Linked DNA regions of Drosophila melanogaster. The protein of the gene in region 2 interacts with the protein of the main gene of each other region in a pairwise test. Each region holds a gene or a part of one and is shown on either strand. Other genes may lie near its edges.

The links.
Region 1: the proteins of CG3894 (region 2) and Pgam5 interact in a two-hybrid assay, tested with the Drosophila melanogaster proteins (one large-scale study listed by BioGRID).

The regions. Positions count from the first base shown.
Region 1 is NC_004354.4:1,871,595-1,875,158, reverse strand, and holds Pgam5 (phosphoglycerate mutase 5), read left to right. Parts: upstream 1-1,593; 5' UTR 1,594-1,628; coding exon 1,629-2,186; intron 2,187-2,252; coding exon 2,253-2,564; 3' UTR 2,565-2,759; downstream 2,760-3,564. Other genes in the region: Vps26 (vacuolar protein sorting 26), read right to left, coding at 1-798, 878-1,021; CG14803 (uncharacterized protein), read right to left, coding at 2,808-3,564. UniProt on the Drosophila melanogaster protein: Displays phosphatase activity for serine/threonine residues, and dephosphorylates and activates Pk92B kinase. Has apparently no phosphoglycerate mutase activity.
Region 2 is NT_033778.4:24,761,154-24,767,418, forward strand, and holds CG3894 (uncharacterized protein), read left to right. Parts: upstream 1-2,013; 5' UTR 2,014-2,101; coding exon 2,102-2,512; intron 2,513-4,435; coding exon 4,436-4,571; intron 4,572-4,624; coding exon 4,625-4,930; intron 4,931-4,996; coding exon 4,997-5,112; 3' UTR 5,113-5,597; downstream 5,598-6,265. Other genes in the region: CG3880 (uncharacterized protein), read left to right, coding at 135-992, 1,049-1,393; CG12848 (uncharacterized protein), read right to left, coding at 1,457-1,819; GstE12 (glutathione S transferase E12), read right to left, coding at 5,688-6,264.

The DNA.
Region 1 (3,564 bases), on a different chromosome or scaffold from region 2:
AACGTGTTGGTGCTGCTGTTGCTGGTGCTGCTGAGCGCCATGGTAACGCGGTTTGTCTGCCTTGCGCCACAGCGTGATCTCCTGTTGTTTGAAGTAGCGCCGGTCCTCGGTGTCCATCAGCACAAGGTTGAGGAAATACTTGACTGAGAACTTCTTGTTAATGTCCCGCATGGTCGGCGTGAGATTGTAGCCAGCAAGAAAGACCCGGATGGGTATGCTCTCGCCTTTGACGGGCGCTCCGTCCATGATCTCGTACTTGGCAATCGTTTCGTTTTCGTTAAACATGGTGGGGCCCGTGCCCGTGCTCTCCTTCTTGATGATCGCAATCTCCATGTGCTTGATCTTAATGCGCACCAACAGGAAGTAGATCTTGCCGATAATCGTGTCCCGCAGGTGGTACTTGCTTTTGTTATACTCGAATTCGATGTGCAGGCAGTCTTCGATGCCTACCTCCATCTTGATGGGGTTGTTCATCTCCGGGTAGCTGCACAGTGTGTGCACGGCGATGTCGACCTCCTTCGTTATGTCGCTGATCCGCCTGACGATGGTTGCGCGCAGGAAGTACCGCAACCGCACGTTCGAGCCGGCGTACACCTCGAATTGCTTCTCCACTTTGGGGAAATCGAATGGATAGCTGTTGTTCTGGATGAGATCGCCCGGGCGGGCCAGGGCCTTCGCTAGACACTTGAATTCGTGGTGGTTACCCCGGTCGTAGTACAGTTCGATCTGGCCAATGAATTCGATCTTAATGCCCTGGTGCTCCAGCTTGCTGCCCGGCTTCTTGAGGGTCACGTTCACCTGGATGAAAAGGGGGTGGATATGGGTTTATCTCTGGTTATGCTTGGGGGAACTCCCCCCGATGCTGACCACGACGCACCTTGCCGGATACCGTCTCCCCGTCGTAGAATAGCAGCATCTTCTCCACTTTGCCGTCCTCCCCTTTAACCTCTGCCGTCTTGTGCTCAGCTCCATCAAAGACTATCTCAATGTCCGCTGACTGGCCGAATCCCAGGAAATTCATAATTGATAAACGTCGAATCGGCTTCTTCTTCTTCCGTTTCTTATTGCCCCCGCCTCTGCTTCTTGCTGCTCCGATGGAATGTCGACGCTGTGACTCCTGTTGGCGGCTTTTCCTAGAGATATCTTTCTGATAACCCCTTCAATAAACCTCAGCTTTGATAGGCGTTTTTCTGCGGCCTTTTTACGTCCTTCGTTCCGATGCTGGCGTATCTGTCGCGTCTGTGTGTGTGAAATGAAAAAAATTGCAATTTTTCACACTACGGCGTTGCCATATCGCGTCAACCTGATTGTTATTAAGGAGTGCCAGCGCTGGTACTTTTCAGTATTCAGTATTTGCATGGTATTTCTTTAAGAAACACATACGGAATAATTAACGAAACAATTGATTGTGGATCCTTAATTTTCTTGGTATACAATAATTGTGTAAATATATTTCGTATTTTTGATTCATCTTGGTAACTTTTCGATAGTTGAATTCTAAATGGTCTTGCGCGGTATTTATATACCCGCTAACCTAGTATGTCAAATACCAAATCGCAGTATTTAAATACCGCACTTATTCAGCGGAACAAAACTAAAATTAAAGAAAATACCTAAAAGCCCTAACGATGCGAAAGTTGACTAGCTTCGTGTGCGGCACAGGAGCCGGACTGGCGGCTTACTACCTACAGCGGCTGCGGGACCCGCAGACGGTCGTGCAGAACTCGTGGACGCACAGTGATAAGCCGGTGGATCCGTGGGCCCTTTGGGACACCAACTGGGATTGCCGGGAGCCACGGGCCCTCGTGCGTCCACTGCGAAACAGCCAGCCGGAGGAGGAGAACCGCTACAACGCGGAGCTTGAGAAGGCGAAGGCCAAGAAGGCGCGCCACATTATCCTAGTGCGGCATGGCGAGTATCTGGACGTGGGTGACTCGGATGACACGCATCATCTCACGGAGCGCGGCCGCAAGCAGGCGGAGTTTACTGGGAAACGGCTCTGCGAGCTGGGCATCAAGTGGGACAAGGTAGTAGCCTCCACAATGGTGCGGGCCCAGGAGACTTCCGATATTATTCTCAAGCAGATCGATTTCGAAAAAGAGAAAGTGGTGAACTGTGCCTTCCTGCGTGAAGGAGCGCCTATTCCGCCCCAGCCGCCAGTCGGCCACTGGAAGCCGGAGGCATCTGTAAGTCAAGTCAAGGGTCAACCCAGTGCGTATTCCACATGATATTCGGCTTTCATTTCACTGCAGCAGTTCCTTCGCGACGGATCGCGCATAGAGGCCGGCTTTCGCCGATACTTCCACCGCGCCTATCCCGACCAAGAGAAGGAGAGCTATACCCTGATCGTGGGACACGGCAACGTGATCCGCTACTTTGTCTGCCGAGCCCTGCAGTTCCCCGCCGAGGGTTGGCTACGGATTAACATTAATCACGCTTCCATCACCTGGCTGACCATCAGTCCATCCGGCAACGTGTCCATCAAGTACCTGGGCGACTCCGGCTTTATGCCCGCCGAGCTGCTTACCAATCGCATACCGCGCGACGTCAAAAACGTGGTTTAGCCGTCTGTTTATAGAACTGCCCAAAGGAGAAGCAATCATAATGTATTTATTTCCAACACTTTAACTGAGACCTTGAGCACAGATCGCGAGACTGTGTAAACCACCATGTACATTTTGCCGCACCGTAACGTATATCTCTTAAGGAGGAATCATTGAATCTTCCGACTGAAATAATAAAGATTTTATAGAATGCCTAACATTTTATTGAGAATCCTTATATGTACAAAAGAAGCCATGAGGAGCCTAAACCCTGCTCAAGACCTTTTGGAGTCGCTGCAAGCACTTGCGTATGCCCACATCTTCTCCAGCGCCGCGTTTTAGCTCCACCTGCTCTGCCTGCTCCCTTATAAAGGATAGGATGGGAGCCACTAGATCCGGCGCCAGCTCTGCCAGGTTGATCAGCATCTGGAAGTAAAAGTAAGTGCAGTGGGCCAGGTGCTTTTCGGCGAGGGATCGCAAGTGATTGGAGCACATATCCCTGACCGCCTGTGATCGCTTGTAGGCATCGTGCGATATAAGCACTTTATAAAGTCCAAACACTTGGTTGCGACTGAGGTCCACTTCGTCCACGAACATTACGTGTTCCAGCAGCGGGATGTGCACGCCGCGCAAAACGGTTAGCAGCTGTTCTTCCTGCTCTTTGCCAGTGCTCTCTATCAGTTGCTGCATTATAGTGATCACCAAGCCCGCATGCTGTCCTGCCCTCCGCCGCTGGACCACCAAAAACTGGGTAACGAGGAGCTGAAGCACAAACTGCGCCAGCTCTCCATCTACATCCGCCTGGAGGAGGGTGGCATATGGACGGGCCACCAGCTTGGCGTTGGATGAGAAGCTAAAGTGCGGCGTCCAGTGCTGAACTAGTTGCTCCAAAGTCTTGGCCACGTATGCGTCCGTGCGGTAAGGCAGTCGACCAATGCCTTGCAGCAACACTGGGAAAATCTTGTGAACCACTTGTGGAAGGCGACCTTCGGGCGGCACTCCTGCCTGCAACTGCGTGGTG
Region 2 (6,265 bases):
TCACACACATTCCATTTGGAGTTACCCATGCAAATGAGCTCCTATTAATATAAGTTATGCATTGGTGCCAAGCGTGGGACTATACGATTCATAATCTCATCCCACTTTCCATTTTGCGCCATCCGCAGACGAAGATGCTCCGCCAGAACAAGAATACCAGTACCAGTCTGCTGAACCTAAGCATAGGCGATGTGGGAGGCAGCCATCCACAGGGGCAGTCGCAATTTTGGGAACTGGATACGCTGCCTAAGCAGTTCGTCCTGTCCATGAAAAAGCTCTTCGACATCTTAGATGACAAGCAGACCGGATACGTGCGCTTCACGGACATCGAGAAGGGCTGGCAGGATGATGGCTCCAAGGGACTGCCACGCGGAGTTGTGGACTCACTCCGTCGGGTCACTCCCAGTAGCGGACTTCTCTCCTTCGAGCGGTTCTGCGCCGGCCTCAAGCTGTGCCTGCTCCGCAATCAGCAAAACGCTGTGGAAGACCTGAAGTTGCGGCCTCGTTCCCACGGAACTCTTGCTCCGGAGATGGAGTTCCATTCTCCTGCTCCGCCGCCAAAACCTCCACGACAGGTACCCAAGTCCCCTGCTCTGGGTAAAGACGACATTCGCCATGCCCTCCAAAACTGGCAACTGAACCTGATGGCGGACGCAGGAAAGTCAAAAACGACGCAGTCGCGGGAACAATTCGAACACCGTGGATCGGCTGACGGTGGCTCTTCCTCCACCTCTGCTTCGGCCACCGACTGGAGCCTGGCCCTTCCGGCTGTGCCCAAGAAGACCAGCAGCAAGCGCAGAGAGTCGCGGAGGCACACTCTGCAACACGGCATCGATTACAACATGCTAAAAAGACTGAAGCAATTGGAGGAGCAGCGGGAACTGCTTCTTTTCGGACTCGATGGCGTGGAGAAGGCACGCGATTGGTATATGATGCAGGTGCTCAATGTACAGGAGCAGATAAAGTATTTCGGCCGTTTAGGAACCCGATTTGTAAGTAGTCCTCTAGCTTGTAATTAATAGTTACCCCTTTCCTGATTTTCGCACAGGATCAGTGGTCTGAACTGCAGCAAGAAAGGCTAAACTTTCAACGCGCCCGCGTTTTTGAGGCCAATCGCAGCCTCCAGATTCTGGCCGACACCTGGGAGCACGGCGGCTACCCACTGCACATTAATTTGGCTGTGCCGACACCCACCGTCCCAAAACCGAGGCAGATGTCCGATCTGCTCAGTCGGGTTCGCGAGAAGCCGCCGCTTCTGTCAGACTTGTACGAGGCGCAGCACTCTCATTCCCATCCGCAGTTCCTGCGTGCCATGCCCAACTTCGTGCTCAGCCAGCCCTCGCCGGTCAGCCAATCCTCGGCCGGGCTGGGAGACGCCGACGTGGTCTACTGACGAATCAATGCTGCTGCGTACATTGTAAATAGTGTATTATTAAACAACTTGAACTATGTAAAGCTATACGGGATTGGGGTAGCGGCGCATGTACTTGTTAAGTTGCTTGTAGTTCAGGTTGCTGCCCGGTTGGACGATTCCCTGGTTCACGGTCTTCTTCGCCTCAAACTTACGGTCCATGTAGCACTTGTAGCAGTTCTGGAACTGGCTGATCTCCTTGTGGCAGTACTTCTCCACGAATTCGTTGTCTTTCAAGCAGGCGAACAGCACGCCCATCTCCTGGAGACAGGCCACATCGGATCCGGAGTCCGCCTTCCCGCTCACGGTGTTCTTCAGCCGCAGAGGCAGAATCTCCTGGAAGGGCACGTCCTTCTCGCTTTGAGGCGCTCGGCCGCGCGCGGCAAACAGGGCTCCGGGTACGCGCATCTGAAACCCCTTGGCTCTGTGAGTCCGGTCATTTCAGTCAAAAAATACGATTTTACCCACCTCGTAATTTCCACCGACTCCTGGACAACTGAACAGCTGCTTCAGATTACGTCACGAACTGGTTCCTGCTTTTGGTGGTGATTGCCAGTACGTCTGCAGCCCTGGTATTTCGTTTAACATAAGCATACGGTCACACTTAGAGTCTCCGTGGAACAAAAGGTAAATAATCAACCTGCGGGCACGCCAGGAGATTCTTCAAGGATCACCGAAGACCACGCGCACATGGAAGCCGCCGAGCAGCTCGACGAGGCGGCAGCACCAGCCGCCCTTTGCGCGCCTTCGCGTGCAGCCTACGCGGCCGCCGAGCAGGAAGATCCAGACCCAGACCAGGAGCAGGACCGAGGCCGGGAATCGCCCATTGGTTCGTTGGAGTGCGCCCCCACCCTGAGCAGTCGCAAGCGGCAGCTGAGTCGCTTTCATCCATACCACGGGTCCAATATCCAGTTGGGCGACGACGCCACAGTGGCCTACCGGAGAGCTAGTTTTGCCGACGCCCTGACATTCTCGGAGCGTCCGCTGGCCCCTGGGGACATCTTCTTGGTGGAGATCGAAAAGATAGAGCGCGGCTGGTCGGGCCATATGCGTCTTGGTCTCACCGAACTAGCGCCCAATGTGATTCGCACCAGCAGCGAGGGAAAAAAGGCGCCTCAGGAGAATCTGGTTTTTCTCGCGCAACCCAAGGGACAAGGCAGCACTCAACAGAGCCATCAAGGAACTCAAGGACAAGCTGTGTACCCTACGGCAAGACTCCTTCGACAGATTCCTTGAGGAGCTGGAACCTGGTGACCCGCAACATAATCTGTGGCAAGTCACGCGTCATATCAGGAGGCCTGCAAAGAAGGCGTCGCCGGTGCGAAAAGCGGACGGCTCTTGGTGCCGCTCTGAAGCCGAAAGAGCTGAAGCGTTTGCAGATCACCTCCAGAATGCATTCACACCATTTGACAGATGCACTGGCGAAGAGCGTGCTGCAACCACCAGGTTCCTAGAGAGTCCATGTCCTCCTAGCCTGCCCATAGAGCCCGTCACCCCAGAAGAGGTTGCGCAAGAGATCGCCTCCCTAAAGGCTAGCAAATCCCCAGGACTGGATCGCATCGACGCCACATCCCTTAAAATGCTGCCACCGCCCTGTTCCCAGTTGTTGGCCAACATATACAACAGATGCTTCTCACTAGGGTACTTCCCGAGATCATGGAAACGTGCAGAAGTCATTCTCACCCTCAAACCTGGAAAACCTGAAGCCAATCTTGCCTCATATAGACCGATTAGTCTGCTGACAATCCTCTCCAAAATACTCGAAAGAGTATTTCTGCGCAGAGTCATGCCAGTACTGGACGAGGCTGGACTGATCCCTGATCACCAGTTTGGCTTCAGGCGATCCCACGGAACACCAGAGCAATGTCACCGGCTCGTAGCACGCATCCTAGATGCATTCGAGAATAAACGATACTGTTCGGCCGTATTCCTGGATGTCAAGCAGGCGTTCGACAGAGTGTGGCATCCTGGACTCCTCTACAAACTCAAGTCCCACCTTCCCAGTTCCCACTATGCCCTACTCAAATCGTATACTGAAGGAAGAGAGTTCCAAGTGCGATGCGGTTCCTCAACAAGCACGACAAGGCCTATACGAGCCGGAGTACCTCAAGGCAGCGTCCTTGGTCCCATCCTCTACACCCTGTTTACAGCAGACCTCCCTATCATACCCTCCCGTTACCTCACAGCAGCCACCTATGCAGATGACACGGCGTTCCTTGCCACCGCAACAAACCCTCAATTAGCATCAGCCATCATCCAGAGGCAACTGGATGCACTGGATCCATGGCTGAAACGCTGGAACATCATGATCAACGCTGATAAATCCTCCCACACCACCTTCTCTCTGCGCAGAGGAGAATGCCCCCCGGTCTCACTCGACGGCGACACAATCCCTACCTCCAGCACCCCCAAATATTTAGGGCTGACCCTAGACAGAAGGCTGACTTGGGGCCCCCACATCAACAGTAAGCGTATCCAGGCCAACATACGCCTAAAGCAACTCCACTGGCTCATGGGTAAAAAGTCAAAGCTGCGAGAGAAACTAAAGATTCTCGTCTACAAGACTATTCTCAAGCCAATCTGGACGTACGGAATTCAGCTGTGGGGCACTGCTTGCACATCACATAGAAGGAAGATCCAGCGATTTCAAAACAGATGTTTGAGAATAGTCTCCAACGCCCATCCCTACCACGAAAATTCCGCCATCCACGAGGAGCTCGGGATTCCATGGGTAGACAACGAAATCTACAGACACAGCGTGAGATATGCTAGCAGACTGGAGAACCACCACAACCACCTGGCCGTCAACCTTCTAGACCACAGCCAATCCCTAAGACGCCTGCAGAGAACGCACCCGCTTGACCTTACTCAACATACTTAATCATACTTAACCCCTACCCAAGTACACTCGATGTACTCCCCTTAAGTTAATGTTTCCCTCCAAAAAATTTAATTATTGTCCACTAGGACAGATTTTAAATAATAAATAAAAGGCTACACAAAAAAAAAAAAAAAAAAAGCGAGGGATTACCCCATTTCGCACTTCCCGACCTCGCGAACCTAGGCAACAGCTGGATCTACCCAATCTCCAAGTTCGAAATGAACCAGCGCCAGGATGCAAACGACATCATCGAGCCTGAGACGGACGACGCGCCCCACAGTATGTACAGTCTTTAATACCATGCGCCCCTGTCTATAGCCAGTCTTTGGCAGGAAACCTTCTTGGCGACGCTACGCACGTGAGAACGCCCCGCGGCCTTCTACCAAAGAGACTTCTACGTCCGGCGATGGGCAACGGCAATGACTCAGACATCCTGCTCACGGACAAGGGCTCCCGCATCGGCATTATATACGTGCCCACTGTGCAAAGCGACTCGAAGGGCGAGCTGCACTTTATCATCAACGGGGTGGATCGTGGCCCCGTTTCCCGAGACATTCCGCTCAACAGAGCGCCTCTGTTCGTAGTGATCGATGTGTATGGCACCACCAAACAGATTCGAATTATCCAGCTAGAGGGCAGTAAGTGAAATAGATCGGGATGTGAGATGGACTTCTTTTTATTTAATCCATCCCCCCTTTCTGCAGTTTTGTCCCTGCAGAGCGCTTGTCGCAACGTTATCCTGGAGAGCTTTGCGGAGGACGCGATCAGCGAGCTGCCACTACCGGAGAGCATCAAGCGATTTCTGCTGCGCCGCGACTAGGGCTCTGGACCATGAGCTCTATGAAATAGGGCCCAGTGAGTGTGAATGAGAAATGCGTGTTTGGGGAAGTGTGCATGAGCTTGGGTCGTGATAGTCTGTTTACCCATATATATATTGTATACGCCTGCAGCGCTAGTGAAGGGCCCTTTCATTGACGCCCGACTCCGGACCCTAACAGATCTACGGATCTGGCCGATCTCCGCTAGAGGGCGCTTATATTTGTAATTTCTGTAGATATATTTTATACTTTGGTTCTAGTTACCAATACACTCTTTACCTGGACGACCTATGTTGTAGATCATAATCCTCGCCATCGTTTGTGTATGTGTGGATCACCAACACCAGCGGAGGTCTCCTGGGCGCCCCGACTTTTAGCGTTTCGGTCCCCAAGGCGATGCCCGTTTCCATTACCGCCTAAGCGTATTGTTGCTATATGTAAGTTAAGTCCACTTAATAAAGGATCGATCAAAGTCGCTGTAACTGCTAAAATCTTACTTTGATCTAATCCGTTTATTCAAAAGTGGATATGCATATAGAATGTGTGGATATAAAACAAAACATAATAGAGCCGCCGCCTACTTGCCACGGTTTTCTGCCAGCTTGGCCTTGAAGATGCTCTTAAGCTCGTCAGCGCCGTCGCCGTTTACCTCCTGGTAGTAGGGTAGCTCTGCCAGACGCTTCAGCCAGGCGTGCATCTTGGGAAACTTAAATTCATCGATGGGAGCGGTGTCGTTCACCGAGGTTACGGTGGCCACGGCGCAAAAGTCTGCGATGGTTAGATCAGAACCACACAAATACGGCTGATCCTTGAGGAATCCCTCTAGGATCTCCCAGCACTTCTGGATGTATGCGATCTTGTCGATGGAGCAGTCCGTCGATCCATAATACAGGATGGGCTCGTAAAGGAAGCGCAGGCGCGCGAAGAGGTGGCCGGAGTCCAGATGGAGCCGAGCATCCACGTTGGCGCGCTGCACCAATTCCTTCGGATAGAGCTGCTGCTCCTTCTGGCCATACTTCTCCACCAGGTAGGCGCAGATGGCGTGCGAGTCAATGATAGTGGCCTCGCCGTCGATCAGGGTCGGGATGGTGTGCTGGGGGTTCAGCTTGAGGAATTCCGGAGTCAGATGCTCTCCCTTCAGCAGGTTAATTGGCC